4 linked regions of the Astyanax mexicanus genome follow. The protein of the gene in region 3 interacts with the protein of the main gene of each other region in a pairwise test. Links are inferred from orthologs where the notes say so. Each region holds a gene or a part of one and is shown on either strand. Other genes may lie near its edges.

The links.
Region 1: the proteins of epidermal growth factor receptor (region 3) and pim1 interact in a protein complementation assay, tested with the Homo sapiens proteins (3 studies listed by BioGRID and IntAct, with this or other methods). The link is inferred for Astyanax mexicanus from reciprocal best matches to the Homo sapiens genes EGFR and PIM1.
Region 2: the proteins of epidermal growth factor receptor (region 3) and pdgfra interact in binary tests that used the Homo sapiens proteins (3 or more experiments, as listed by UniProt). The link is inferred for Astyanax mexicanus from reciprocal best matches to the Homo sapiens genes EGFR and PDGFRA.
Region 4: the proteins of epidermal growth factor receptor (region 3) and stip1 interact in binary tests that used the Homo sapiens proteins (3 or more experiments, as listed by UniProt). The link is inferred for Astyanax mexicanus from reciprocal best matches to the Homo sapiens genes EGFR and STIP1.

Annotation. Positions count from the first base shown.
Region 1 is NC_064419.1:2,570,785-2,578,823, reverse strand, and holds the start of pim1 (serine/threonine-protein kinase pim-1), read left to right. Parts: upstream 1-4,381; 5' UTR 4,382-4,657; coding exon 4,658-4,733; intron 4,734-4,991; coding exon 4,992-5,098; intron 5,099-5,338; coding exon 5,339-5,389; intron 5,390-5,491; coding exon 5,492-5,861; intron 5,862-6,973; coding exon 6,974-7,150; intron 7,151-7,259; coding exon 7,260-7,450; 3' UTR 7,451-8,039. UniProt on the Homo sapiens protein: Proto-oncogene with serine/threonine kinase activity involved in cell survival and cell proliferation and thus providing a selective advantage in tumorigenesis.
Region 2 is NC_064408.1:64,427,857-64,435,777, reverse strand, and holds the start of pdgfra (platelet-derived growth factor receptor alpha), read left to right. Parts: upstream 1-4,689; 5' UTR 4,690-4,959; intron 4,960-7,395; 5' UTR 7,396-7,418; coding exon 7,419-7,476; intron 7,477-7,921. UniProt on the Homo sapiens protein: Tyrosine-protein kinase that acts as a cell-surface receptor for PDGFA, PDGFB and PDGFC and plays an essential role in the regulation of embryonic development, cell proliferation, survival and chemotaxis.
Region 3 is NC_064413.1:1,351,708-1,359,530, forward strand, and holds the start of epidermal growth factor receptor, read left to right. Parts: upstream 1-4,084; 5' UTR 4,085-4,244; coding exon 4,245-4,320; intron 4,321-7,823. UniProt on the Homo sapiens protein: Receptor tyrosine kinase binding ligands of the EGF family and activating several signaling cascades to convert extracellular cues into appropriate cellular responses.
Region 4 is NC_064408.1:21,488,010-21,496,046, forward strand, and holds the start of stip1 (stress-induced-phosphoprotein 1), read left to right. Parts: upstream 1-4,295; 5' UTR 4,296-4,371; coding exon 4,372-4,380; intron 4,381-7,551; coding exon 7,552-7,761; intron 7,762-8,037. UniProt on the Homo sapiens protein: Acts as a co-chaperone for HSP90AA1. Mediates the association of the molecular chaperones HSPA8/HSC70 and HSP90.

The sequences.
Region 1 (8,039 bases), on a different chromosome or scaffold from region 3:
GCAGCCCAAAAGCACAAATAGGAGGCTTGCTGGTCAGCAGTAATTTATATGTAATTTAGGGTAATTCCTTGAGTTAATTAGACTTAAATCTTTATTTTTTATGTCTCAATTGTGTGTTTTTTTAACTGATTTTGTATTTGTTGTGTCAATAACAAAGTATTCAAACATACATTACTAAAAAAATACAAGTTTTACAACATCCCCATTTTTTCTCTTCTTTTTTTACCATTTAAGCTCTTCAGTTCCAGTCTATAACTGAAAAAAAAATCTAAATCAAGTGTACAAATTGTGTACAAAAAAAGTTGTATTGTATATTGTATTGTTATTGTATATTGAAAACCTCTGGAATATAATCAAGAGGAAGATGGATGATCACAAACCATCAAACCACCAAACTGAACTGAACTGCTTGATTTTTTTGCGCCAGGAGTAAAGCAGCATAAAGTTATCCAAAAGCAGTGTGTAAGACTGGTGGAGGAGGAGAACATGATGCCAAGATGCATTACAAAAAAAACTGTGATAAAAATCAGGGTTTTTCCACCAAATATTGATTTCTGAATTCTTAAAACTTCATATAATTATGAACTTTTTTTTTTTTTGCATTTTTTGAGGTCCGAAAGCTCTGCATCTTTTTTTTTTTGTTGTTGTTGTTATTTGAGCAATTTCTCATTTTTAGTGCAAATAAATGCTCTTAATGACAATTTTTTTTTGGGGGGGGGGGGCTTGGGAGAAATGTTTATAGAATGTTTATTTTACTCAAACATAAACCTATAAATGAAAAACCTTTATAGAATAGTCCCTGGATAATTCACGTAAAGCTGATTTCAGCACGCCCCACGCTCCCCTCCAGATGCCCAGCTGCACTGTTGAGTCTTTTTATCTGGGTTTTTTTCATTCGCTTTGAATTCGCTCACCTCAAAAATGGCAACAGCTCAGATGAAGCGCGGGTCTGAATGATTCATAGCGAGCTCGGGCTGAGCCGCGCTGCTGAGTAATGATCTGTTTTTGGATCTCTCTCAGCATCCTGTTTTTGTTCAGTTTGACTGCACTGACTCACGGATGAGAGCGTCGTGCCAGACGTACACACACTCTCTCCACAGGGGAGAATCACAGGTCCAGATTCACACAGTGTTTCTGACTAATTCTGCTCTGTGTTCTGCTGAGCAGGAGAGCGCTGTTCTCTGCATCCTTCACTATCCTCATTTCACCCGGTTCTGTAACGGTCAGGAACTCACAGAACCACCACGGGTATCATTCTCAGCATACAAACACAGCAATGACTTTATTACTGCACTTCTTCACCTGTCAGACCAACTCTAGTCCTTAATCATCTTAATCTGAGCTAAAGGCTAAATAAAGCTGCTGTAGCCATGTGGGTCAGCCAGACGTGACTCTTCCTGCAGTGTTTTTTCTCCAGTTTCCTCCCAGATTCTTCATTTAAAGGTGTAGGAAACAGTGATCACCTCTCTCTGGCTTCATCTGTAATTTCTCTATAGTTATTATAATGAAAGTGTGAATGTGCTGTGTGTAAGTATGCAAATGCTGAAATTTGTTTAAAATTAAGAGACTTATTTATAGGTATACATTTGAGTAAAATCTATACAATAGAGAACATTTCACCCAAATTCCTCCAAAAATACAAATATTTAATGTCATTTAGAGAATTTATTTGCAGAAAATGAGAAACGGCTGAAATGACTAAAAACTAAAAAAAAAAAAAAAGCAGAGATTTCAGACCTCAAATAATGCAAAGATTTGGTGTAAAAACCCTGGTTTTCAATCACAGTTTTTTTTTTTTGTATCTTGGCATGTTTTCTTCTCCACCAGTCTTACACACTGATTTTGGAAACTCATCATTTTAAAGTAAACTCATGTTTTTTTCCCCAAAGCTAAGCCTTACATTAGAGTGTTTTGGAAATAAATGTAACTATAAAACTGAAACCAGTACTTTTATTCTTTTACTTAAAGAGTAAAAAGCTTGAGTTGATACTTCAATTTATCTAAGTATCCAAAATATACTTTTACGTACAGAGTAATGACTTTAAAAAAAAAAATCTTTTTTTTTCTTTACAGTAATGAGTGTTTCAAAACATTTGCCCAATATAGTTTAATATATGAATATATATCATTGCTGTCCAATTAAAACCAAGTTTCTCCAAAATAGCAACTTCTTTATTTCATTTAGGTCATTTTTTTTAGGTCAAGTATTTCTATTGGTCCGTTCATCAATACATTTTGGCACAGTTTTAGGGACAGTTTGTCTGTTCAAATTGTGTAGCGAACTAAAAATCTACAAAAATGGAGATACTTGTTTTTCATTGGACAGCAGCGATATTCTGGGAAGCGAAACCCACTGACCCCACTCTGAACACCTTTCTCCACATTCCAGCGTTAACTATGGAGTGACTTCCATTGAAGAACTGGTGGAATTTCCCCTTTAAGAAAAAGTAGCCCCCTCTATTAGGGGGAGGACACAAGCTGAGAGCTGGATAAAGGGGCGGGGGAGACCGGGGGAGACCGGGGGAGACCGGGGGCAGCGAGGTAGAGGGCACAGAGTGCATTAACCATTCAAACAATAATAAGCGCGGGAAAACACAAGTGCGGGGTGGGGGTAGTCAGGGGGAGGGAGGTGGCGGCGGGGGTAAATGGATGTCTTTTTATCTCCAGTTTCCCACATCCTGCCACCGAGTCTGAACGCGGCCACCCAATCTGAAAGAATGCCTGGTATGTGCCCGTTTTCCCTGCTGCCTCGGTGCCGTGACCGCCATTGTTCCCCGGCTAAATAAAGCATGCGGCTCGCCAAGAGGGAATAAACCTTCAGAGCACTAATTTGAGATTAATGAGGTTTTGTTTGGTGAAGATCTTCATTGACTCAGAACCCAAATCCCACCCCCCACCCCCACTTTCTTTTATCTCCCCTGATACACAAAACTTTAACTTAAAAACAATGGAGTGGAGGTAAATGACTCAGGTTGGAGAATTGATGTGAGCCATAACATTGTCTAAGGCTGTTTCTTTTGTTTGTTTTGTTCTTTGTTTTTTTTTTTTTTTACCCAAGGTTTCGTAATTGTACATTTTGTGTCAACATCAGACAAACGGCATTGTTTACCCATATTAATGATTCACTCCTCCCACACAACTTTAGTGTAAATGGGAGGAGCCAAAGTGCATAAAACAATGAAACAGGACCTAAAAAAAAAATAAATAAATAAAAAACGACTGCATTTGTTTTATAGACTATAGGGTAAAAAGGAGCGTGCAGACAATTTATACAATAAGTACTATTTAACAACTTTAAAGCAAAGTCTAAAAACACTTAGAATTAAAATTAACATGATAAAAACATTCCTTGTTTACTTTTATCATTTAAGTATATATATATATATATATATATTATAAGCAATTACGTAAACTCAAAATAAAATTTTAGAAACTTGACTCAGACTTAGTAAGTCCAAGTCTTAGTCTTGGCTTAGACTCGACTCGGAATCAATATGTCACAGTTTTGTTCTTGACATAGACTTGACACAGACTCAGACTCAATATGTCCCAGTCTTGGTCTTGACTCAGACTCAATATATTCCAGTTTATTCTGTATATTTTATCGTACTTTTATATCCTACCCTTCATTTGTAATATATGTGTGCTATGTATATTTGCTACTGTATGTTTAGAATTTCCTTCTGGGATCAGTAAGGTATCTATATATATGTCTGTCTGTCTGTCTGTCTGTCTTGGTTTTGACTAAGACTCAATATTTCCCAGTTTTGGTTTTAAATTAGACATTTTCTTAGTTTGTTTCTTTCAAATAAAATAAAAAACATAAAATCTACCAAATTCACTCTAAACACCTTCAAATAAAAAAAAAAAAATAAACATTTTATTTATTATTTTTTATTTAATTTTTTTATGCATATCAGGTCCAACACTGAATCGTTTGCGTCCAAAGTGTCCACGAGGTTCTTAGAAGGTGAGAAGGTCCTCGTTCCCCTACTGGAAAGGAGCAGATGTCTGCAACTTTGGCGAAACTGGCCCTCATTCTGAGAAAGAGAGAAAAAAAACAAAACAAAAGCTGCTATATGAACTTATTGCCCCCTCCCTCTTTCTTTCTTTCTTTCTTTCTTTCTTTCTTTCTTTCTTTCTTTCTTTCTTTCCTCCCTCTCTTTTATCCTACCCTCCCCCTATATGCCGGTTCGTGAACATTTGGCGCGTTTTGTTTCCCGCCACGTCGGCCAGCCAAGCTTCATTTTCATACTTGACAGACGTGCCGTTGACGTTTAGCGATTGGACGAGCCCGGGAAAGGGGAGGAGCGAGCCGTGACGCACGCGCTCCGCTACTACGGGTATATAAGCGGTCCTGCCCCGCCTTTACGATTCAGAAAGCCGGCGTGTTTATTGTGAGTAGCGCGCCCGGGACAACGATTTCACAGTTTTCCAGCTCTTCAGCGCTTGTGTTTGTTTTTATACCAACTTGATGACTCTTTTCTGGGGTTATTCTTCGTTTTGAGCCGCACTTCAGAGCTTTAATCTGGATGAGAAGCTCGTTTTTGTCGTGCTCTTTTGGCTTCCACAAGAAAGGCTTGGATTTTAAACGCGGAACGGATTAAACTTCTTCTCACGGATTATTCAAGTAAAACAAGCTCAAGGAAGGAAAGAAATGCTTCTGTCCAAGCTCAACTCGTTCGCTCACATCTCTGCCGTGGATATGCCTGCAAAAATTCAGCTTCATCCAGGTTAGAAGACGGATATTTTCCTTATGTTGTGGGTTTTGAGCTGAATATCCGTCCCGGGATTTTGCTCCGACCGCCTGGGCGGCTCTGCTGCAGCGCTGCTGCAGCAGAGCCGCCCAGGCGGTCGGAGCAAAATCCAGGAATGGATTATAACTTTTTGGTGTTTAATCACCTAAATCTTTAAATAAAACATAGGAAATATAGACATTTTAGCTTGTTTCACATCTTTTAACATATTTCTTGCATTTGTTCGAATTGCAGTGAAGGAGAAGGAGCCGTTTGAGAAGGTTTACCAGGTCGGATCCGTGTTGGGAAGCGGCGGATTCGGCACGGTGTACGCTGGCTTGCGGATAGCCGATGGCGCGCCGGTAGGTTTTTTTTTTGTTTGTTTATTTTTTATTTTTTGTTGAATATGTTAAATAATTCGGTTTGTTTGGGTGGGTGTGAACTGAAATAATTCGCTTAAGGCTTTTGTTTTGATTTTTTATTATTATTATTATTATTATTATTATTATTATTATCCATATTATCCATAGCTGTGCATGGATGGGTGTCTATAATGTTTCTTATAATTTATGTTTATTTAAATTTTTTTATATATATTACAGGTTGCTATCAAGCATGTGGCGAAGGATCGTGTGACCGAATGGGGAGAATTGGTAAGCTACTAATAATATTATCCAATAATTATTTATATAATTATCTATATACCTATTTATATGATGTCTAATCTCTATTATAATCTCTTGAATCTTCCACAGCCCATCACAGGAGCTCGTGTACCAATGGAAATCGTCCTTCTGAAGAAGGTCAGCACCGGTTTCAGAGGTGTGATCAAGATGCTGGACTGGTACGAGCGCCCCGACAGCTTCATCATCGTGATGGAAAGGCCGGAAAACGCGAAAGACCTCTTCGACTTTATCACGGAAAAGGGAGCTCTGCCCGAGGAGCTTGCACGCAGCTTTTTCCGCCAAGTGCTCGAGGCGGTCAGGCACTGCCACAACAGCGGCGTCGTTCACCGAGACATCAAGGACGAGAACATTCTGATTGACCTGCGTAGTGGAGAGCTCAAGCTGATCGACTTTGGGTCCGGAGCTCTTCTCAAGGACACGGTGTACACCGACTTTGACGGTAAGAGCCATTGCCTCCTGTATGTTTCTGTAAATGATCAAGAAAATAAAAAATGGAAGGCAAGACCCTTTAACCTACCTTACTATAACCTACCCTACTAGGCTACTGTACTAGTTTTACCTATTCTACCTTTTCCCACCCAATCTTGCAGCTTGCTTTGGCGTAAAACGAAAGATTTGTTGAGAAAAGATTAAACAAAATAAAAAAGATCCCCTTTACATTTGTATCAGTTTGTATCTTTAAAGCCTTTGACCTTCAAGCTTAAGACCGTAGAACCCTTTTTAATTTTTTTTCCCCCGCCCTCGTCTTAATCCCAGCTTGATAATATATATATAGTGTATGTATAGTATAGCATTCATCTTCTTTTTTTATTATTATTATTTACAACAACAGGGGGAAAAAAAAAACCTGACCATCACACGCATGCACGTGACGTACTGGAGCGATCTATATCAATACAAAAAAAAATAAAAAATCAACTCTCACGCGTTTGTTTTCATGTTTCACGTTTTCATGGGAAGAATTGACACACAACAAACCTGCCCTTATTATTAATGTGCTGGGTTGTGTTGCCTTGCCTTGAAAAAAAGGCGCAGGAGCTCTTTTGTTGTGATTCCGCAGCGCCCCTTGTGGCTACAAGCGGTAGTGCTACAACTCAAAGTTTGTAAACACAAGTCACATGGCAACCGGTCTACACACACACACGCTTACACACTCTCTCACACACACACACCCACCTACTGTCATGCTACGGAGCACATGACTGCACAGATTAACCTGAACAACTTGCTGCCTGCCCATATTTTGTAAACATATATGCCATATATTACAGCTCTTCCTTAAGCACCTGTGCATTTTCTTTTTCTAATATATAATATAATATATATATATATATATATATATATATATATATATATATATATATATATATATATATATATATATATATATATTTTTTTTTTTTTTTTTTTATATATATAAATGATATTGTTTATTCATCTCTATTTTTTTTTTCTTCAAATATAAGTGAAATATATGTGTTTTTACAGACTTTGTGTTTTTGTGATATAGATTTTTAATGTCTTTTTTTCTTTATATATTTTTTTGTATAGGTACACGCGTTTACAGTCCTCCAGAGTGGATCAAATACCATCGGTACCACGGAAGGTCAGCCACGGTGTGGTCTCTGGGAATCCTGCTGTACGACATGGTCTGCGGAGACATCCCCTTCGAGCAAGACGAGGAGATCGTCCGCGGCCAGGTGCTCTTCAGGCGCAGGATCTCGACTGGTAAGACTTATTATTATATGAGTAAATATATAAGTAAATATAAATAAAATATAAACAAAATATATATATAAATATGTCTGATCATTTCTCTCTTATTAAATATTTACAGAATGCCAGCAGCTCATTAAGTGGTGTCTGGCTCTGCGTCCCGCCGACCGCCCGTCCTTCGAAGACCTCGTCAACCACCCTTGGATGCAGAGCTCCAGCACGAACGCGCCCCCCGCGGACGGAGCAGAGATTCGCCTGCACAGTCTGAGCCACGAGTCCACGGCCTTCACCACCGTCGCGGTGTGCAAATGACTCTCTCGTGCGAAAGACTTTCACTAGAACACACTACTACATCAGTTAGCCTGGCGGCTGCTCCTCACTGAACTGAATGCACTCTGGTGCGGGAAACTTTTTAAACATTTTTGAAATGTGAAATGTTTGGGGTTTTTAAGCGAAGGAAGCTAGCTGCTGATTGGTGGGATGGTGGGATGGGTCTGATTGATTAATTGATTGATTGATCTCAGAGAAGAGACTTGTAGTCTTGTCTCGTCTCGTCTCTCGTCCTATCTCTTAATTAAGAGAAAGAGAGAGAGATAGTCAGGAAGCCCAGGACCCCTGTCGAGATGATGGTCTGGTCCAGTCTGGTCTGGTCCAGTAGGAACCTGAAACCTGGAATGAACCACTTTTCAGGGAAGGGGGTGTTAGGACCCAAAAGGGGGCGAGCTGATTGTGATTGTCCGGCCACGAGTCGGATCTGCAAACTTGAAGCAGTCAGTGCTTGTTGTGATGATGGTGATGGTGATGGTGATGATGATGATGGTGGTGATCAAGAAGAAGAAGATGAGAAAAGGCACACCTGTGAACAGACTGAAACAAAATGTATATATATATATATTTATTT
Region 2 (7,921 bases), on a different chromosome or scaffold from region 3:
TTTAATAAAATCAACTGGTTATTTGTAAATGTGTTCTGCTTTCAAGCCTTTATCACAATCAATAAAGTGTCCAGAGAAGTGGATTAATAATGACCTGTCAGCAAACTCTCGGTAGTAGTTCACAATCAGTGTAACAGTAGAGGTGCTGTGATGTTGTAGGTTGTACTGATGACTTTAATATGGTTTAATTGGTTTGTTTTTATATTAACTTATCTTGAGTCTATTTTAATGACCCTCAAGAGTCCTTAACTAATTCTCTCTCTCTCTCTCTCTCTCTCTCTCTCTCTCTCTCTCTCTCTCAGTGTGTGTGTGTATGTGCGTGTTTATGGAGGAAAAATGAGTGTGTACGCCACCGTGTGGTGGCTAAATGGAGAATGCATGATCAAATTTCAGTAACAGAGTTCAATGCACATGTAAATGTGACACCCACAAAGTCAGACCAGAGATGCAGTCGTGAAAGCAAGTCATGGTTTCTGTCTCACCAAAATCACTTTAAACTAGTTTAAATATACCATACTAGTCCATGTTTATACACCTAGTTGCGCTGTGAATCGAATAAATGCAGAAATTAAGTGTGCTGTTTTAGTCAACTGTGTTCCAGCTATGTTATAAATAGTTAAATAAATTAGATGGTCTAAGTTGTTTTTAGAGTGTTTTACAAGCATATTTGATCAATTTAACAGGATATTAACATGTGTTTTCAGAAAATGGCAGTTCTATGAGGTGTATTATCAGTCCTAGCAGTTAGCAGCTTCAGCATTTGTTTTATTTGTCTACCTGTTCATTTTTATGTTAGTTAGTTTGCAAGGGACCCTTTTCTGAATTTTGATCTTTGGTAAATATCGTGTAATGAATGTACAATTCATATATAAGCTAGAGTGTGTTAAAATATATATATATATATATATATATATATATATATATATATATATATATATATATATATATATATATATATATATATATATATATATATATATATATATATATATATATATGCTATTTTTATTACTTTTTTGTTTCTTCTTTATTCATTTATTCTGTCCCCCCTCTTTTTTCTTTCTTTCTTTCTTTCTTTCTGTCCCACTGAGATTAAGTTGTTTTATTAAAACTGCTTTGCATTTTCTTTATTTAAATGATTTTAAGTTTAAGTATAACGGAAGTAAAACAGCATTTAATTACAGTATTATAGCCTTTAAATACCCAACAATGACAGACTTTGTGTGCAGGTTTGTGTATGTGTATGTGTGTGAATGTATGTGTGTGTAATCTAGATTCAGAAGCCAGACAAGCTGGCATGCCACAGCTGGAGTCCCCACGGCCCCTCCAGCATGCACATTCGTCCCATAGCCCACATTCCTCCCTAGTTAAAGGTGAACAGACGCTTCCAGTAAGTCATGCTGAATTACATTAAATGCTGTCCCTCACAGGCTCCCAATGTGATCAGTTCATAACATACATAAAACACAATATTTCAGCAGCAAAACTCTTGGTGAGGAGAAAGAAAAACAAACAACGAAGTTAAGACTGGAGACCCAAAACAGGTGAGGCTGCAGACATGGAATAAAATCAGTTTCTTAGGACAAGTTTCCCAAAGCATCTTAATGTTAAGATCTTCTTCACCGGCAGAGAGAATGTTCAGAGAGATTGTTTAGAGAAATTAGATCATTGTTTTGTGAGACTAAATAAAAAAAATGATAGAATGCAAAAGTTCTGAAGGTTCTTGGCTTAGTTCTCAATGTGTTTTAAGTTTTGCAGTATGTTAAGGATACATCTATAAAATATTTATATCTATAAAAAGATTCTTCAGACTCATACATCTACAAAATAATACTTCAAACTAATGCTTCTTGCCTAAAATGTTTTTTTAGACCATTACAGCTCATTTAAAATGGTCCTTTAGGCTTGCACAGTATCTCTAAGAAGTTGTTTTTAGACTTATATTTTTTTTAAGGGTTTACTTAAACTAAGTCAATTTCTCTAACAAAAAGTTATTTAGACTAACATTTATAAAAGCTTTGTATTTCTTTAAAAGTTTTTTAGACTTCTTCTTTATAGATTTCTTACACATCCTTTTTATCGAACCAACGCATCCTTTCTAAAGGTTTTTTAGACATAGGGTACGAGTCAAAAGTTTGGACACACCTGTTCTCATTAATTTATAATAATTTTACATTGCAAATTTAATAGTGAAGGCATTAAAGTCATACAGGAACACATGTGGAATTATTTTGTAAACTAAAAGGTTAAACAAATCAGAATATGTTTTAAACTTTCGATTCTTCTAAGTAGCACATTTATCTTTGAGGACAGATCTGCAGACTCTTGGTATTTTAATCTCAGTGTCTTCATGAGGGAGAGTCACCTGGAATAGTTTTCTCAGCATCTTGAAGGAGTTTCTGGAGGTGCTGAACAATAGTTGTTGCTTTTCCTTCACGCTGTGAAGCTCCGATGGTTTTTGTGGAGGGCAGGGGATTGTGGAGAACAAACACTTTTTTGGTTTACTACGTCATTCCATATGTGTCTTTAATATTAATCTAAAGTTTAGAAAATACATTATACAAAGAAATAAAGAAAAATATTGAATGAGAAGGTGTGTCCAAACCGACTGGTACTGTGTGTATTCTTTAATAAGGTTTTTAAACTGATGTATCTTCTTTGAAAAGGTTCGTCATACTCACACAACATCTTTAAAAAACGTTTTTTTCAAATGCAGAAATGTACATTTCTCTCTAAAAATAATATAAGTCATTTGCAACAGCAGTTTTAACATTTTTTTTTATATCTACCCTTTGAAGGGTTCCTCGGGACACCAAATGTGGTTGTGGCATTGCTTTAAAGAACGCTTAATGCGACCTGTATTTGTAAGTGGTTGAGCTCAAGACCTGTTTAATAATAATGGTCTATTTCTGAGCCTGTTGCTCTGAATATTTTGCTCACAAAGGCATGTAATGAGCAATTCTCAGAGAGATAAAAGCAGAGCCAGACGAGTTAAGCATGCAGAACCGCTGCTGGCCGCAGCGCCGCTCACTTCAGTGTGTTCAAATTGCTCCAAGCTGCTCCCCGGGATCAAGGTGGAGAGGATGGTGGAGCAGATCGAGGCTCCGAGATTAGGTTGCTTTGTGCCGGAGAACAAGGCACTCTGTTCTTTTTGCGCGCTCGTGCTGCAAAGCAACATGTGGAAGTCATTGTGGACGAGCGGGCCGAGCGAGGAGGCGCTGCGGGGCGGATTCCTCCAAAGACGGGGGGCTGGGGGGCAGAGCGGGATAGCGTGGGAGGTGGTGGTGGGGGAGTGCTTGAGTCTGGCCCCGGGGTCTGGGTCAGTCAGCTGGGCAATGAGGCAAAAAGGTGGGCTCTGCGGAGTGGAGTGTTGTGGGGCTGAGTGGGTGTGGGGTGACTTTGGAACTTGTACAACTTTAGAGGTCATCCTGCTGAGAGAATAGTCAGCCGAGCTGCGGCTGTGTTATCATAGGAATCAGATTATGTGAAGAGTGTAAGTTCTTTAAGGACAGTTTATTAAACCAGACTGGAGAGAGAGAGAGAGAGAGAGAGAGAGAGAGAGAGAGAGAGAGAGAGGGAGAGAGGGGTGGGATAAATTTGAATCTTGAATCATGAATAAAGGACTGAGTAAGAAGAGAAGAAATTAGAAGAGGACAGAAGGCGTAAAAGAGAGAAAGAGAGAGAGAGAAGGAATTGGGTGCATAGGGAGAGACGGGGAGGAAATGGGGTGTCCAGTGAGAGAGAGAGAGAGAGAGAGAGAGAGAGAGAGAGAGAGAGAGAGAGAGAGAGAGACAGGATAAATATGAATCTTGAATCTTGTATGAAGGACTGAGTGAAAATGAAAAAATTAGAAAAGGCTAAAATGGGTAAAAGAGAGGGAGAGAAAAGGAATGGGGTGCATATAGGGAGAAAATGGGGTGTCGAGTGAAAGAGAGAGAGAGAGAGAGAAAGAGGCAGGATAAATTTGAATCTTGAATCATAAATAAAGGGCTGAGTGAGAATGAAGAAATTAGAAGAGGACAGAAGGGGTAAGAGAGAGAGGGAAAAGGGATGGGGTGCATTTAGGGAGAGACAGGGAGGAAATAGGGTGTCGAGTGAGAGAGAGAAAGGGAGAGAGAGAGAGAGAGAGAGAGAGAGAGAGAGGCTGAGACACAGGGATAATGAAAGTGAGGCAGTTTGTGATGTTAGAGCGCCCTCTGTTGAGTGTAGACTTTCACACTGCGGAGTTTCTCGTTACTCATTTCTGTACAGCCCTGCAAAGCCCCATACACCAAATAGAATCAAACCAAACCATCTCATATCAGCATTTTTTTTAATCGTATGTGTTATAATAATTGCTATTAATGCAGGTAGTGATTGCGAGCAAACGCACTTTTCAACCTGGGGGAACCATTATGCATGTTGGGTCTCTTAAACTGTATTAAAAAAAATCTTCAAACATCTAAAAATCAATGTACATAGAACATAAAACAGTGCATCTTTGATGTTTGTGTTGCCTACACTTTTACTGTGTTCTCTTTCAGTTGACTTCTGTGTGTTCTGTTCTACAAAAGGCGCTCTCTCAGACTTCCAGAAGAAGAAAAAAACATACGCGCGACAGATGTGAATACAGGACTTTTATTTTGGAGAAAAGTCCTGCGGGAGGGAGGGGGCTCCTCCTCAGAGCTATTTACTCAGAGTCAGATGATTATTGGCTGGGGAAGGATGGGACTGTAAGAGTGAGGCAGAGTTAGAGCGCAGCGCTGCTGGAGCAGTCAGGAGAACAGCGGAGGAATAACGCAGAGTGCAGGAGACTCTGAGAGGACACTAAACACACACACACACACACACACACACACTCACAAAGAAGAGTGGAGCTGGACGACTGAGGACCCTCTTTGGACTACTTTACTGGAGCTATTCAACTTCTTTTTTTTCTTTCCATGGTCAAGTGGGAACGACAAAAGGATTTTGAGAAAAGGTATTGTGTGGGTAAATTGGTTTAGTGAGACTAATTGGTTTCTTTTCAAGGCACTGTAGCTGCAGACAGGATAGAAACGTTTAAAGGCTAATTAGGCTAATTAGTAAGAAAGAAAAGCTTCATAAATTTTGTCGCTTTTTAACCATATATTATATTTTGGGTTTATTTTAGTGTGCTGTTTTTGTATTGTTTTTTTTTTTTAGTAGAAAAACTTCCCCATTTTTGAAGAATGAAAGCTGGGAGCTTTTTTCTTCACTTTTTTGTTTCCTTTTTGTGAACTTTTTCCTTCTTTTTTCTTTTTTTTACTTTTTTTTTTATTTTTTTTTCTTTGCAGCACAGACAGAACAGTTTTAATTAGGCTAATTACTAAGAAAAACAGGACCCTAGGGATTACTGAGCATTTCCTCGACCAAAGCCCATCATTACACAAAATTTAAGCAGCCTATTTTTTGCGCGGTTAACTCCCCTGCAGTGACTCCAACACGGTCTGTCTCCTGGATGCGCGGGATGGAAGGAACTTTACCCTTTATTTTTTGGTTTGATTTGCGCGCAAAACCTTGCTCAACTTAGCGCGAATTACACGGCTGTTCGTATCTTTGCCATATGGCCTGCAGTCCAAACTAATGACAAACACATTTCCAGCGGATTCTTGCTTGCTTTTCCTACCCTCTTTGAGGACTACATGGAATATCATGCATCTGGATTACTGCGTTTATTGTTTTGACCTGTATGGATAAGTGCGTGCATCATCTGGCCTACAGAGTTACTTTATGCGTTAAAACACGCGCTCTGGGCGTGCGTAACGTGTGTAAAGTTCTTTGCAACAGTTGGACGACTCTGGATGCTGGTCAGAAAAGGCTGCTGCAGGACTCCAGCCCACCCTACCCCCTACAACATTCCCATGGAAATCCATTTGTGCGCGCGTGGGACGGGGCCGGAGCGGGACGGATGACGCTGTGATCCCCTGCTCGCGCTCAGCTGTTGCTCCACGGTGGCACATCCGCAACGTTTGGAGCGCTCGAGCGCATCTGTCTATCTGTTGTCTATCTGTGTCTGAGCTGATTGCGCACACTCACGTTAGGAGTGCGTGTATGTGTAATGTATGGAGACTGGATACACTCTCGGATTCCCACGCGAGACGCTGCAGTAGTGTGGAGAGGGCTCGTCTAATCGCGTAATTACAGCCCGTCTCTGCAGGGGTAATTGGCCAGGGGTGATTACCCCCCGTCCGCGCGCGCACAGGAGAGCTCGAGCAAACGGCACAGTGGCGTCTGGAGGCAGTAAAGTAAAACAGGAGGTGGACCCCCCGCGCCCCCTGCATGTCTCTTTACTACTTTACTCTAACTTTGAAGTTGACTTCATTAGAAAACACAGCACTACGTGATTTTTTATTAATTAATGTGTGCATCTCGTATAGCCTTAGATATCGCTGCTCTATCTACTCTATGAGACACAGCGGCAGTCTAGGCTGTAGACTAAAAGCCAATATCCTATAACCAACTCATGAAGAAAAAAAACAAGAAGCTGTGCTTTACATCAGCTCTCTGCGCTCCTGCTCTCTAGGACACGCGAGCCAGATAACGCGCGTGCCTCCCGTTACACACACACATACACTGTAGAAAAGTCCGCCTGCAGAAGCTGCAGAAGCAGAGGCTTCTTTAGATAAAGTCATGGAGAAGAGATAGAGACCACCAAAAAACGAACGCATTGAAAGACGTGAAAACCTTTGGAATTGGGAAGATTCAAAGCCTTTGCAAAAATGGATTTCCATGCCATGTAAACTGCTTCATGGAACAAACAGGCTCTTCATGGTGGAAAAAAACTCTTTACAGTGAAGAAACTCTGAAGAACCGTATTTGTGGAACTTCGGAACTTGAACTCTGAGGAAACGGAATTTTAAACACAAGTGTGAACACGTTTTAAGATTCGATTAAAATAAAACTTAAGAATAAAAAAACATTTGAAAGTGCTTTATGTCACTCTCTTAACTCCAGCCCTCTGTCTGCAGACAATCTGCGCTGAGTCGGCCGCTCTGTTAAATCTCGTACTCTGTCGCCCCCTTGTGATCACGATCCCACGATCAGCTCCGCTTTCCGAAAAGGAAATATTGGCATCCTCGTATTGATTCAGCGCCGACCAACGTTTTTACAGGCATACCTGAGGATAGAGCCTGTCCAGCAGCGCGCTTTCCAGCCGACGATTCAGTGCAGGTTTTATTAGAGCTGATCTAACACCGGAGGGAAGTCCCTCTTTTACTCAAACCGAGTGAAGAGATCAGCTAATAAAAACATAGCGGACTGAATGTGATACACAGGCTCAGCTGCCTTCAGCATAAAACACACAGAAAAATGATTTCGTTTGCAGCATTTTACTTTATAAACAATCAGCAGGTCTAAAGTTACAAGACGCATAACTCAGCTTTCCCTTTTCATTCCAGCTGAACTGGATCTGAGTGACCATGGGGACTGTGAAGACACATCTCCTTCTGGGGGTTGTCTTACTAGGAGTCCTGGAAGGTAAGGGCGTGAAAGAAAAAAAAATAATAATTAAGAAAAGAAAGGAAATAAAAAATGAACGAAAGAAAAAAAACAGAAATAATGAAATTATAATAAAAATACAACGAACAAAGGAGATAATAAATAGAAAAGATATAAACAATTAAATAAATTAATTACAGAAAACAAGACAGGAAAAATACAATCAAAAAGAAACGAAAAAGAAAAGAGATGAAAGAAAAGAAAACAGTAAATAAAATAAAATAAAAAACAGAATTAAGAAAGAAATGTAACAAAGGGAGAATGAGAGGGAAAAGAAAGACAAATATATTGAGATAGAAAGGTAAATAGTCTAAATAAAAATATAAAAAAAGAAAGCACGAAAGAAAGAAAGAAAGAAAGTTAGAAAGAAAGAAAGTTTTCAAAAAACTTTGCAGATACAAAAAAAAAAACAATACAAAAAAGA
Region 3 (7,823 bases):
ATGCAAATAAACTGGTGCTTTCCCAAATTATATATATATATATAGCTCTGGAAAAAAAAATCATAAAAGCTCTGGAATATAATCAAGAGGAAGATGGATGATCACCACAAGCCATCAAACCACCAAACTGAACTGCTTGAATGAATTTTTGCACCAGGAGTAAAGCAGCATAAAGTTATCCAAAAGCAGTGTGTAAGACTGGTGGAGGAGAATAATATAATTGCAAGATGCATAAACAAAACTGTGTTTAAAAACCACTGAACTCTTAAAACTTTATGAATATGAACTTGTTGCTTTGTTTGCATTATTTGAGGTCTGAAAGCTCTGCATCTTTTATTTGTTATTTCAGCCCCTCAGCCAGGAGAAATGTTGGCCGTAGTTTATAAAATAAAACAACAATGTTAATTTTACTCAAACATAAACCTATAAATAGCAAAATAAGGACTCAAGGATTGCCCTGTACTATGACTATCTTTTCTGTCCCTGCTGAAGAAAAGCTTATCTCCACAGCATGATGCTGCCACCACCATGTTTCACAGTGGGGATGGTGAGCAGTGTTCGTTTTCCGCGCTTTGCATTTAGTCCAAAAAGCCTTAAACCTTTTTTTTTTGGTCTGATCTGACCACAGAACCTTCTTCCACATGTTTGCTGTGTTCGTCTACATGGCTTGTGGCTACAAACTGCAAACGGCACTTCTTACTTCGTCTTTCTTTCAACAATGTTCAACAACTCTTTCATAAAGGCCAGATTTGAGGAGTGCACAACTTATAGTTCTCCTGCAGATTCTCCTGATCTGTACATGAGCTGTGGATCTCTGCAGCTCCTCCAGAGTGACCATGGGTGTTTCGTTTAATTTTGTTCCCCCAATTTCGCAATTATGCACCACTTTCTAAAATCTCAATAAAACACATTTAAGTTTGTGGTTGAGACAAAATGTAAAAAAGTTGAAGGAGTATATAAATACTCCAGTGACTATTAGTCTACACTGTCTATACTGTCGCGCATCATTGCTATTAACAGAAATACTTTTCAGTACTACATCAATCGATCAACAGAGATAAGAGAACAGATTCTATAGTTACTATAGTCGGATTAAATCTCTTAGCAACCAGAGGAAGATGATCCTGCCTGAAGGGTTGTAACCTTGCCTGGGGCGGTGGGGACTGTCCAACCATCTAAAATTATTCTACCAGCTGCAGACTATTCTTAGTCTTAAAAAAGACCTGCATATACCCACTCTAGTTCTCTCACAGCCAATCAGCTTTACTTCATTTACATGTGAGCGATTCTTTATCCTTTATTCTTTATTTAATATCAGTACTTTATTAATACATCTTTAGATGTTGATGAAAAAACGTGACACACTGTATTTCTGACTGGACCAATCACAGCTTATATTTCTTCGCTGTCCAGTGTAAAAAACACTTATCTCAATTTTTGTCGATTTTTTGTTTACTACATAATTTGAACAGCAAAACTGTCTCTTACACTGTGCTAAAATTTCTTGATGAACGAACCAATAGAAACTCTTCTAAATGACCTGAAATAAACTCTTTTTACATTGACTTCTATTAAAAGTTAAGAAGGTTTTTTCTCTCTCCTATAAAGTTAATATTAAGAGGGAATCGGCTTCCACATGTATATTTACTAGAGCATTTTAAAAAACATATCAATTAAATATCACTGAACTCATATTGAGTTAAATACGCAATGTTAAACTCTTCTGTCTTTGTTATATTTAGATCTGTATATTTTTACACTCTGAATGCAGTAAAGCAGTATGTACTAGAACTGCCTAATTAAACTAACTATAAAATACCATTTAATACAATTGGAAAACTGCTTAATTTAGCAATTATTAAAAGCTAAGGCTAAAAGTTAGCACTCCCTAAAGACCCAACACCCACTAAAACCCACTAAACTAGCAGCACTTCCTGCTGAGAGTCATACTGTTCAGCATGAGGGGCAGTCAGTCATTGGTGGAACAGGGGAGGATTTGGGGGTGTTTTTTTTTTATTTTTTTTACCAATAATAACAATCTAACTAAATAAAACATATTCTGTTTTTCACAGTAGATGGCGCTCTTTCTTTAACCCTCATCACTCCTAGGGTGATGTGGATCAGCACAAGGCTGCGTCTGTGAGCTGATGTATCAGAACCGAGTCGCTGCCCTTTATTCCCAGCGTTAGAGCTGCTGTGATGCTACTCGGCAATGCTACAGCATCAGCAGCAGTTCAAAAAGAGGCGGAGTCTGACTTCACATGTGTCGCAGGAGGCGTGTGCTGGTCTTCTTGGGTAATTGGCCTTGTAAATTGGGAAGAAGATTAGATAAAAATTTGAAATTAGCAATAAAATACACAAAAATTCTAAAGGTCAGCTCAGGGCCCTATATAGGCAATTGATTGGTTTGCTTGCCCTGTTGATACGGGTCTGATACCAATACTCTATTATTGTTTAGAAGATAGCCATGTTCTTCTGCATGAATGCTGCACTAACTAACTAATGCAGCAGGAACATTTTCTGGGAAAAAATATGTTTTAATCCTGACCTGAACCAGTGTTTCATCAAAATTCCTCTTTTATTGACTCGACTTAATCAGCGTCCTGGAAACCACATGTCTTTTACGGCTCTGTATTAATGCAGGGTGGTTGCCTGGCTTCATAACCTGCAGTAAACGTGCAGCAGACTGATGATGAGCGTGAGTCACTGAACTCAGGTCTAAGTTGGGTCTAATGGTTCCTGAGATCTGTGGTTCTTTGTGTGCACTGTTTATTATGTAAGCAGTAGGCGGAGTCATTATCTTGAAGGGAGGCAACAATTATCTCTTGATGTGTAGCTTAAAACATGATGGCTACACTTAAAAATGATGAGTTTCTTTGATTTTACCAAATTAAAAACCTGCGGAATATAATCAAGAGGAAGATGGATGATGATCACAAACCATCAAACCACCAAACTGAACTGCTTGAATTTTTGCACCAGGAGTAAAGCAGCATAAAGTTATCCAAAAGCAGTGTGTAAGACTGGTGGAGGAGAACATGATGCCAAGATGCACGAAAAAAAAAAACTGTGATTAAAAACCAGGATTATTCCACCAAATATTGATTTCTGAACTCTTAAATCTTTATGAATATGAATTTGTTATCTATCTATCTATCTATCTATCTATCTATCTATCTATCTATCTATCTATCTATTTATCTATCTATCTATCTATCTATCTATCTATCTATCTATCTATCTATCTATCTATCTATCTATCTACACCGTCCTCGAGTGTGCTGTTCCTCCAGCGACCACTAGAGGTCACTCTCCACACTCCACTAGCACATGGCCCAGGTGTGATATGACTGATTTTAAAGGATAAACAGATCAAATATAATTCATTTTTGTTAATTTTGTGTTTTCTACACTTTACAAACAGATTATCTATTGTTTGGTATAATGTAATGGTACTCTCAGTGTATAGTATACATATTAAACAGTGTCCCAGACACTTTTTTTTTAGAATTTTAAGGTGATTTAAATAGTCTCTGGCAGAGGAATAGCCATGTTTATTCTCCATCCTTCAATACCGTTTTAAAATAGGAAAACAAAACAAAATGTTATAAAATTATTTCAAACGTATCAACAAATGTGAACAGCAGTGGTGTTCCCATGCAGGTACTAAAAAAAGATAAAAACAAATACATTTCATTTGCCCAGAACATAAAAGGAAGGTTAAAAATATCCACTGTGATTGAGTTCTTTATAAAAAGTGAAAGATTATTCTAAAGTTTTGGAGCTGTCAGTAATTACATTGCTCTATTTTCTCTTTTCCATGAGTATTTCGTCATTGTCCAATGAAAAACAAGTATCTAAAAAACAGCAACTTTAAATTTTCTAAATATTTTTTATTTTAGGTTATTTTTAAGTATTTCTACTGGTTCTTTTATCAATAAATTTTGACACAGTGTTAGAGACTATCTGTTTAAATATTGTAGTAAACTAAAAATCAACAAAAATAGAGATACTTGTTTTTCATTGGACAGTGACAGTTTGTTATTGCGCATGCGCTGTAGTAACCCGCAGATTACACCTCTGGAGCGGCACACGTCACATCTGCCCCGTACAACAGCCCTGACCAGTAGAGCAGTGCTGATCCCGCGCGCCGCCTCCAAACGCCCTGCGCGCGCCCTGCTGGAGTACCACCCCAAGCACGCGCTCAGGACACCTCCAGATAAACACGCAGTTACCTGATTAAAATGTCACCTGCCGCTGCAGGACTCCTCTACCTGGCCGTGTTAAGCCTCGCGTGCTCCGCTGCACCTGAGAGAAAAGGTGAGTTCACTTAATTACTTCATTAAATGTAGAGTTTTATTTCTCCTGAGCGCGAGAACAGCCAGCAAAAATCCACTTTTTTATGTTTTAGGCAAGCGCTGACAAGACGAGGAGCGCGCGCTCCAGCTGATGGTTATGATAATATCCTGTGCACGCGCCTGCGTACACTCTGTCCTTAAACAAAAAGGGAAAAAATGTCATTTAAAAATGGGTCTGGAAATCTGGCATCTTGGCATCATGTTCTCCTCCACCAGTCTTACACACTGCTTTTGGATAACTTTATGCTGCTTTACTCCTGGTGTAAAAATTCAAGCAGTTCAGTTTGGTGGTTTGATGGCTTGTGATCATCCATCTTCCTCTTTTTTTTAATTTGGTAAAATCAAAGAAAATCATCTACAGCTATTACAATAACTAACAGTATAATTGTCCAGGATGTGGCCATAATTTAATCCCCTGTCATTTTGATAAAAAATGTGATTAATCACAGTTAATCACACTTAAATTTCTTCCTTAAGTTTAGACAATGGGTATTTAATTGCGAGTAAAAGATTCAAATGTTAGACACATTTACTTTTGTATTATTGGTGCCAATCCCTTAAAAATGGATAAATCACAGATAAAATTGTGATTACCTTTTTTTAAAATGCTGGTACTTAACTGTATTTTTAAGAGGGGAAAAGAAATAATGTTATAAAGTGGCAGACTAGATCTTATTATTTACGGTATTATAATATCTCAGGGTAGTTTTACTGTATTATCTAAGGGAATTTTTTATGCTTTTTAAACTAGAAAGTGTAATGTTCTGAGTTACAGAGTTTAACTGTGAGAGTTGAAATGGAGAAAATAAACACTAATGTAGCTCCATATTCTACATTAAAAAAGAGAGAGAGAGAGAGAGAGAGAGAGAGAAGGAATGTGTTAAAGTTTCCAGATTACCTGTATGCGTTAACGTGTTAATGTTGACAACCATAATATACATGTATATACACACACACACACACACACCTATGGCTGTACATACTTTAAACTAAACCGGTACAGAGAGACAAGCAAACCAGAGGTAAGGGGGGGGGGGGGGGGTTGAATGGGGTAGGTGGTGCTGATGGGTGACAGATAGAAGAGATAAGACATAGCTACGCATTTCCAGCTTCATTTATTTCCAGTCATTTATACTGAAATAAGGTGTTGGCATAGATATACAGCTCTGTAAAAAATGAAGAGAGGACTTCAGTTTCTGAATCAGTTTCTCTGATTTTGCTATTTATAGGTTTATGTTTGAGTAAAATGAACATTGTTGTTTTATTCTATAAACTACAGACAACATTTGAGGTTTCAGACCTCAAATTATATAAAGAAAAAATGTAATATTTATAAAGTTTTAAGAGTTCAGAAATCAATATTTGGTGGAAAAACTCTGGTTTTTAATCACAGTTTTTTTTTCTTGGCATCATGTTCTCCTCCACCAGTCTTACACACTGCTTTTTAATAACTTTATGCTGCTTTACTCCTGGTGCAAAATTATTTTTAAAAGCAGTTCAGTTTGGTGGTTTGATGGTTTGTGATCATCCATCTTCCTCTTGATTATATTCTGGAGGTTTTTAATTTGGGAAAATCAAAGAAACTCATCATTTTTAAGAGCTCGCTTATTTTTTTTCCAGAGCTTTATGCTATATAAACATTTTTTTAATAGGAAATCCTATTTTGATTATGGAGGAATCCTGGACATTTATACTGTTAGCAATCAAGCTCAGTTCTAAAAAATACAGCTTAAACCAATTTACGCACCTCTACTTCCCAAAAATATACAAAGATAAATAAATAAATAAATAGCGATAAAAGAAAAAAGAAAGTAAGAATTAGCGGTAATATATTGCTGTTATTAAGGAATAAAGTTAAAACTAGTAAATTTTAACTAAACCAGACCCAGATTTTGGTTATGTTGGACTAAAAGTTTACTGAGATTATTTCATTATTTTTGTATGAGAAAATGACCCCAGATATCTGGATTACTGGAATATATTTAGCTGGGCCAGAATTTCACCATTATTAAGAATGAGCACCGAGACAAGTAGAGTCAAGCCCCGACTCTGACAGTCTCTTATTATTTTAGTACAAAAGCAGTTCTTTTGTTTTTTTTTTCTTGTGCAATCAATGAGGTCAGTAACGCAGAATCATCACAATCTCTTCTGCTAAATCCCTGAAACAGGTTTGAGTTTGTCTGCTGTTACTTTTCTCACTAAACCCAGAAAAGATGTTGTCGCCATTGTTCTTTATATCAATATTAAATATTAAATAGCTTATTTTAGTTGATTTACTGGGTGAAGAACATACTAGGGCTGCACAATATAATTTTGAACAATATATATCGCGATATTAAACAATGCAGGGCCCATGATGTCACAAGCCCATTAGTCTAATGGATTTGTTTAGCTACCTGAAGTTGCAGCCATTGCTCATCTATAATACAGCTTATCTACAGGGGTTATACAATGAAACTGAAACACCTGTCATCATTTTAGTGCGGGATTTTAGGTTTCATGGCTAAATTGGAGCAGCCTGGTGTTCAATCTTCATTAATTGCACGTTGCACCAGTAAGAGCAGAGTGTGAAGGTTCAGTTATCAGGGTAAGAGCACAGTTCTGCTCTAAATATTGCAATGCACACAACATTATGGGAGACATACCAGAGTTCAAAAGAGGACAAATTGTTGGTGCACGTCTTGCTGGAGCATCTGTGACCAAGACAGCAAGACTTTGTGATGCATCAAGAGCCACGGTATCCAGGGTAACGTCAGCACACCACCAAGAAGAACCAACCACATCCAACAGGATTAACTGTGGATGCTGTAAGAGGAAGCTGTCTGAAAGGGATGTTCGGGTGATAACCCGGATTGTATCCAAAAAACATAAAACTACGGCTGATCAAATCACGCAGAATTCAATGTGCACCTCAACTCTCCTGTTTCCACCAGAACTGTCCGTCACCACAATCAATTATTGTGCTCTAAAACCAGGTGTTTCAGTTTCATTGTTCAACCCGTATAGTATTTCAAGCCGATTTTTAAAAGTCATTCTGCTTAGTTATGCTATTTGATTATCATTACGTCAGTAAAATTTCTGATTTGTCCACTTAAAATAGTCATTATGACAGGGCTAGTTTCAGTTCTGAGGAAGCAGACGGCTGAGTGAGACTGAAAGAATTTTATAAAGTATGTGCAGCAGGTTTCTCAGAATTTTTTTAAAGGGCAAGGCTTTTAGTGTTCAGATTTTTTAGTGTTTTCTTTCCTTCTTTCAGTTTTTCTTAAAGATCTCTTTCCGCTAAAATCCTCTTTTTCTTGTTCTTTGTGAAATACAACAGGTCTCTCTGAGTTAAAGCTACAGTAACTTTACAAAACTCGGATATTCTGAGATCAGGCAATGCAGTATGTCCTTTAAATTAAACTTAAAAATATATGTGATAAAATATAACAAAAGCATTTTTGGTATTTTCCACTGTAAAGTTTT
Region 4 (8,037 bases), on a different chromosome or scaffold from region 3:
GGCTTTCAGTGGGGCTGGAACAGTGATTGTGAATGTCTAGGAGATAAACAGGACATACTGATACCACAGTAAAACACCAGTGTCACCTCCTGATACATAGACACACTAAACACAGCTTACTGTGTGATAAAAAAAAAAACAGGAAACAACAGTGTCACAAACAACACCAACCTATCTATTGTTTCTGTATGTCCCTAATAGACACATTTACCATATAATTTCTTCTGAAACTGAGAGTACAAATAGGGAACAGACTACACTAGATGCTGTAACATTGCTAAGAATATTAGAATGCTTTCAGCCTCAGGGAGTAGGGATGTCCTGATCAGGTTATTTTGCAAATTATCTGTGTCAGTTTATATGATCCAATGTGATTTGGGTTTGTATAAATAATAACAGCCATGCAGTTTAGATCATTCTGAAGTACTTTTACTTTGTTTTAGTAACATTTTATTTAATAAGACTTCTGACTGACCAGACTCCCTGACCATTTAGCTCCCAGTTCCTTTGAAACACTGCAGTCAAGTCACTTTTGTGTACATCTATGTGTATTCAGGTTTATACTCCCTGGACTGATATCTGTTAATTCCACACTGCACACTAGTTCCACACTAACTAAACTCTTTACTGTATTTACCTTCTGAGAACTCTCCTCAGTGCAGTCGACTGGGCGATACTGTCCACTACTTGCTATGAACACTGTGGTTAAACCATAGACTTAGAATTGGATTTGGACTCAAATAGCTGATACCTGATCCATTTAAACATGCCTGGATAAGATCGGGACATCGATATTAGTGAGTATAGTGGGGTATTTACATTTGATCATTAGGTCTGGATCACAAACATTGCTTCAAATAATCCCAAAGGTATTGGATGGAGCTCCAACCCTGTAGATATTCAGACCTACTGCTCCCAGTCTATCTGTTGATCCTCAGCTGATGATTGTGACCTGGTGGTATGGAGGCCTCATGTGCCGCTCCAGAGCATCCCAGTCTGTTGTCAGGGCTATATAAATTCTGTGTGTGTGTGCATTTTAACATCTTATGTCAGCACTGAGTGCACCTAAGTAGCAAGTAGTTGGATTAAGTAATTAAAAAAGGCTGCCTGGGTACTTTCAGACATTCATGGCTGGTTTCCCGGACAGGGATTAAGCCTAGTCTTTGACTACACAGAACTCTGAATTAACATTTTTCATTAAAAAGAAAATATAATCCATAGCTAAGCTTGATCCCTGTCTGGCTGTTGTTTATGAAACAACATATAGTCAATAGAACAGCTTCCTGTTTACTGTTAGTGTACCCAACTAAAGTGAGGATAGAGCTAATTAGTTTATTACTATTAATACTGTTACTACTAATGCTACTACTGTGATTACTGTTACTGCTAATACTGTTAAAAATGTTAGTAATACTTCATACTATGATTACCACTACTTCCACTAATATTACTATAATTACTAATATTATTAACCATTTAGGTTATCTCCTAGTAACTAATACTGTAACTACTGTTACTGCTAATGCTATTAGTAATGTTACTAACACATCCTACTACTGTTAGTACTACTTTTACCAGTTTTGCTACAACTGCTCCTATTACTACTACTTCTACTACTACTGCTACTAATACTACTATGTAAGTACTACTATTACTATTGCTACTGTTTTACTGCAACCACTGCTATGGCTATTACTACTATTTCTATTACTCTCACTATGTTCACAACTACTGCCACTATTACTATCAATACTGCTACTTTAAAACTACTTTAAACTACAACTATTAATGTTATTACTACAACTACCGCTTACTATTACTACTTCTATTACTATCAATACTTATAAATCAGTTGACATTTTAAATCCTTTTTTTTTACTATGTATCATATGTATAAATAGTAGACATCAGACTACACGGAAATCATATTGTCCCAGCCTAATCATTTTTCATTATACCTGTCACAGGTGGACAAAGTGGACAATGACTAGGAGGACAATTTTAGCAAAAATTGACATTTGTTGAAAACATGTAAAGTGACTGATGTCACGGGTTCTTAAAGGAGGATTTATTCCAAGCTTGATATGGTTTTATGAAAACTGAAATAACTGAAGAAAAGTCTAAAGTATTTTTTTTAATCTTCAAAACTAAGAAAATAAAGTATAAAACTGTGTTGTTTAATCTCATTTTATCTTAACTAGGCAGCACCGTGAACATGACAAAAGAACACTGTAATAACTGTAATAAATGCAGAAAAAGTATTTTAAAGAGTAGCTTTCCTCTATGGTTGTAATAATTTGTTAATGAGTCTTGAGAAAGTGCTGGTAGATTCTGTGTGTCTCCAGAGCACAACAACCCTGCAGCAGCTGGAGTTATTTATGTACAGCCTCGAATATGAACCAATGAACTTTCCAGAACTCGCTAGAATATTTCTGCCGCTTTTTCCCGTCACATTTCTCCTCCCAGCTCCAGCGCACTGTCCTCTGATTGCTCTAAACCAAACCGCGCTGAGCGAAACAACCAATCAGCGAGAGGATGAATCTAAAGCGATGAGAAAAGTCACAATGCGCGAACCCGGCGTTTCGCTTTCCCATGTATAGCGGGTTGCCAGATTTGCAGGTGAAATAACACGACCGTTGATTAAAGAGAAATTGTGGAGCTTTCTGTGTACATTAACTAAGTGTACAATATAAAAAGCAAATCATTAATGAAGTGTAGGTGTAAATAAGTTTAATATATGTATGTTCTGTTCATTGCACATATCAGAAACACTGCTTGTTTGTGTTATTCAGCTTTTAAATACAAAAGAATCAAAAGTATCCACATTTTAAAGTATCCACTCATTTCTCAGGTGTCCATTGAAAATGAACGTATTTTAGTACAATGTAAATATATTAAAGAAGCTTAGTTGGGACATTTCGCTCAAGTGTGGCGTGATGTGCAGCTGCAATGGATTAAGTATAAACCAATAGCCATGAATCATTACAAATCCTGTTCTACCTTTCACTCTGCAAACTTTCCACTGCTTTATGTAATAAATATGTAACACAGTACTGTACTTTTAATTTCATTACTTGGGTAGTACTTAAGTACATAAATGATGGCATATCAACATTGAATTAACGTTGGTGTTATGCTTCAACCAACGTTGGATTTGGTGTTTATTTTAAAAAGTGAATAAATGTTGATATGGCAATGTTATTTCAACGTCGAACGTTCAACCTTTAATAAAACTTAGCTCATATTCGGGATGCTTAAAATTGTATGGAAGAGGGAAAAAAACTGTATGCCATGATGAAATTAACAATTTTATTTGTATTGCTGACTACCCAAGGCCAGAGTAGTGAGAGGGGCCCATGATAATCCAGATTTTTTTTTTCACGTGTACTGGCATGGATAGGGGCCCACTGACATTGAGAGTGTACAGGGCCCAGAATTTGAAACCATTTTTTCATCCTTCCATCCAAACATTTTTTTCAATTGTATAGTGATTCAATGTAAAATACTAATTCAAAAGGCAGAAGGTTGAGGACATTATGTTGATTGAAAGTTAAAATTTTATAGATATTTTAAACAGATATTTTTTAAACCATATTTCGACCATATTAAACCTGATTTCAACACTGAAACAATAACAACAGACAGTACTTCTATCATATTTCAACCATATTTCAACCACATTTCAACGCTGAAGGTCGGTTGTGTGCCAGTTGGGGGGTTAGCACTAGGTGGGCGATATGGCTCTAAAATAATATCACGATATTTCAGGGTATTTTTGCGATAACGATATACTTGCCGATATAGGAAAACAGAAATAATTCGTTAATTTCAGGAATATACTATAATAGTTTAACAGTATAATCATAATGTGGCAAAATAAATAACATAGCATAAAATAATATAATGCAGCAAAAAAAATTGCAGAATATTTAGTGCATGCATATAAACTGCAAACTAAAACAATTAAACAATACATTCACTTAAAGCTTCACAGTAAATAATGGACTACTTTTAAGACAGAACATCCCTATTATCACGATATGGATTTTTAATATCATGATATTTCTGTGTCACAATATATTGTATTTGGATATAATATTGCCCACCCCTAGTTAGCACTTCTACTTCTAAGTGTGGAGCTTAAAAACACTTTAACTTCTAATCAAGTCACCTTTTAAATAGAGCACTTGTACTTGTTTTATTATTATACATGTCTGTTTAAAACAGACAATTATGCAACATATGTGAGTCACGGAGGGATATTTCAGTGCGACATGGCAACCCAGATGCTGGGGTATAGTCATATTGAGCGGTGGGCGGCGCGTCTCCACTGTCGTCTCACAGTAGTTTCTGGAACCTCATGGTTACACCATGGAGAAAGTAAGTACCACTTCAGCCTGGGAATTAATTATATTCCTGCTGAGAAAATAGGAGATATATATTCTGTGGGGAACAGCATATACTTACTGCGTGTTTCTGCAGTTAGCTGAGGGGGGATTGTGTCGTGGTGTGAGTGGGCTGGCCAGTTAAACCCCAGCTAAGTTCGTTAGCGGCAGTTAACATTAGCCGGTGAGCTAGCGGTAATATTAGCTAAGCTAGCTGCTGTGTGACAGGCGCTGCTGCAGCGGTGCTCATTGTTAGCTCCGGTGCTAAGTTTATGAGCATGACTAATAAAATAAAAGCCAGTTATTGGAGTTATTCCTCTAGTTTATGTTTGGCAGTGCTGTAGCTCATTTTTATGGCACTGTTGTTTCGTTAACGCAGCTGTCTGACTCGTATTAGCAGCGTAACTAAGCAATTAGCTTAGTTCGCTAGGCTAGCTGTAAGTGCCTAGCTTAGCCTAGCTTAGCTTAGCCGGGGGAGGCTTTGCAGAGATGAAGCTGTAAGCTAGGTTAGGTGCATAAGCACTGCGACAGTTTATAAATGTCCCCTGTTGCTCTGATATAACATAGCTAACTATATCTATAATAAATGTATAGCTCTAAACAGAGTCGTTTTATATGGTTTTCTGTGGATAAAACACTTAATTCCTGCTAGTCTTGTTAACTTTTCTAAACGAAGTTGACCAGAAGTCCAGGTTTAGCTGATTAATTAACTTTATCTGTTTAAATTCTCCACCTTCTACTTTTCCTCCACTTGATTTGTTTCTGTCCTGACGATGTCAGATAGTTTACACAGGGTATAATTTATTTCTTTACTAGCAACACATAGCAATATAGTTACTGTGCCAAGTCCTGCTGGAAAATGAAATCCGCATCTCCATAAAAGCTGTCAGCAGAGGGAAGCATGAGTTATGTAAGACCAGCACCAGCAGATGACATGGCTCTCCAAACCATCACTGACCCATCAGTAAATTAAGCATTTAATTTGGAAATCAAGGGATCAGAGTCTGGAGGAGAAGTGGAGAGACACACAGTCCAAGCTGCCAGAGGTCTAGTGTGAAGTTTCCACAATCAGTGATGGTTTGGACAGCCATGTCTTCTGCTGGTGTTGGTTAGCTTCTCCACCTTCTGCTTTTTCGCCTCTTGATTTGTTTCTGTCCTGAGAATGTCAGATAGCAAGATATATGATATCGATCCTCTAAAAAAAGGGAAAAAAGAAGAGGAAATGACTGAAACCAATGTAAAGTTGATACAATTGTTCATCCCTAATACTAGGCACTAGTAACTAGTTTTTGAGTATGAAGATTTTGTTATAGTTAGTAGTGTCCTTGTATGGGCAATATTTTTATCCCAATTGCATATTAAGTGCTAATACAAACTCATATTTTTTAAATAAGGAATGTCAAAACAATGTATAGCCCAAGATATATATATTTTTATAGTATTATTAGTATGTAGTTGGGACACATCCTTAGTGTTGAGCAGTCTGGTATCAGTGTTGTAAGGTTTTAAGAATAGTAAGAACAGTTTGAGCGTATGTAGTATTATTAGTCTTTAACCACATAGACAAGTCTTTGTCATGAGTTGTGAAGACTGTAGGTGTTACTCTCCAGCCTGTAGATCAGCTGCTGTGACTGCTGTCAGTGGTTGTCTGTCAGTGACATTTGTGACACTTAGCTAAGAGCAGGTCTGTGTGGTGTGGCAGCTGACTCTGACCACTCTGATTTTTGACCACCACCAGTAAGCATTTGAAAATCAGTGGTATTAATAAGAATTTTTTCACTATTTGTTGCAGCAGAAGCCTTTACTTAGATTGTGCAGTAGATCACATTCCTGTGAGGATTGGATTGCATTCAGCCACAAAAGTATTAGTGTGGTCAGCTCATTATGTGTGATTTAGTAGGTCTGGGTCCCAAACACTGCTGTAACTCTTCTCAAATGTAGAATGCTGTTCTGCTGATCCACAGCCCAATGCCTGGGGTTTATACTCTTGTGGACAATGTTTGCTATTTGTAATCTGGTGGTATAGTGATGGCATGCTGCTCCAGACTTACCCATTTTAGCTTTTCTATGAAGATCTAAAATCTATGAAGATTAAAAGTTACCTTTACACATTGTATGATCTACAATCTTAAATCTGTACCTGATGCGCAGTTCTGAGATGATGTGGTGCTGCAGCTTACCCTATAAACCATTAGTGTGAAGAAGAGCTTTTTTGTGTGTAAAGTTGGGCGATGCTTTATTATCTAACCACTGTTGTGCTAAGTGAGTTGTTCTCTCTCTCACTCGTAGGTAGCTCTTCTTAGTTACATAAGAATGAGTGTATATATGAATACCTGAAATGTCACAAATAAAAAGAAACTGTGTGGACAGAAGTACTGGGACACTTTCCATCCATTGCTGTTTCAAAATCAAGAGTATTAAAGAGTTTTTTCTGACTTTGTAAGAGTAATTGTCTTTTAATTGCCATTTATTGACAATACTTGTTTGGTTAAGGAGGTCATCCAAAATTACAGGATTGAGCATCATGATTCCAGAAATCACAGTTTAATGGAGGGATGCTTTATACCCCTCTTGCCCGTGCCTGATATAAGGCATGGTGCCAGTAGGTTCATGTTTCTTCTCTAGAGACTTCTATTCTATTGGCTGTACTTTTCTACAAGGAAAAAATAAGCCGTGTGTGCACAAATAATTATGCCAACACACCTTGCCTTGCCATGAGTCATTGGTCACATAACATGCTGTAATATAAGCCAAATGCCATTAATGTAAATGTTAAGTGTGTCTTTAAAAAAAAAAAATAGTGGGTCAAGCACTGTAAGGTCTACGGGCAGATACTTCTAGTGGCTGGCCTGTTTAAATTGCAGTGCAAAAGAGTCTCAGCATCTTCCACCTGCTTCATGTTGTAATGTACATGGAGTTCTGGTTGAGTGCGGGACAAGCTGTGTGTTTCTGTTGCCCTAATACTTAAATTCTGCTGTTTTTTTATTTCTTTTCTGTTTCTCATTCTGTTTTTAAACCATCTCTAAGCAGTACTGAAAGTTCTTATCTTTTAAGTAAGAATCTGGGCAGTTAATCACTTAATCAAATCAGTCAGTGTCCTAATAAAGTATAGAATTGAATGTTTTTTAAAAGGTTTACCCATTACTATGCTCTTTTTCCCTCCCAGGTATCTCAGCTAAAAGACCAGGGCAATAAGGCGCTGAGCGCTGGAAACATTGATGAAGCCGTTCGTTGCTACACGGAAGCCCTGGTTTTAGACCCATCCAACCATGTCCTTTTCAGCAACCGCTCTGCTGCCTACGCCAAAAAGGGTGACTACGATAATGCCCTGAAAGATGCCTGCCAGACCATTAAAATCAAGCCAGACTGGGGCAAGGTGAATAAAATTCTTGCTTTTTTTTGTCTTTTATTTCCCCTCTTCTTCAGATCGGCTGGGTCAGCCATATGCTGAAATATTGATGGATGCACAGCACAAGACCGTTGACTCTATGTTTTAGCTTTTATAGCTAAGTTGCTATATGGTCGGTTGCCCTTATTGCTTCTGTAGATGGTTCATGAATAATATGTGGGACATATCCACAGAAATAAAGAAGCTGTATTTTGAGACTTTTTTGTTGATTTTGCAAACCGATAACAGTTTGGAGCACCACAG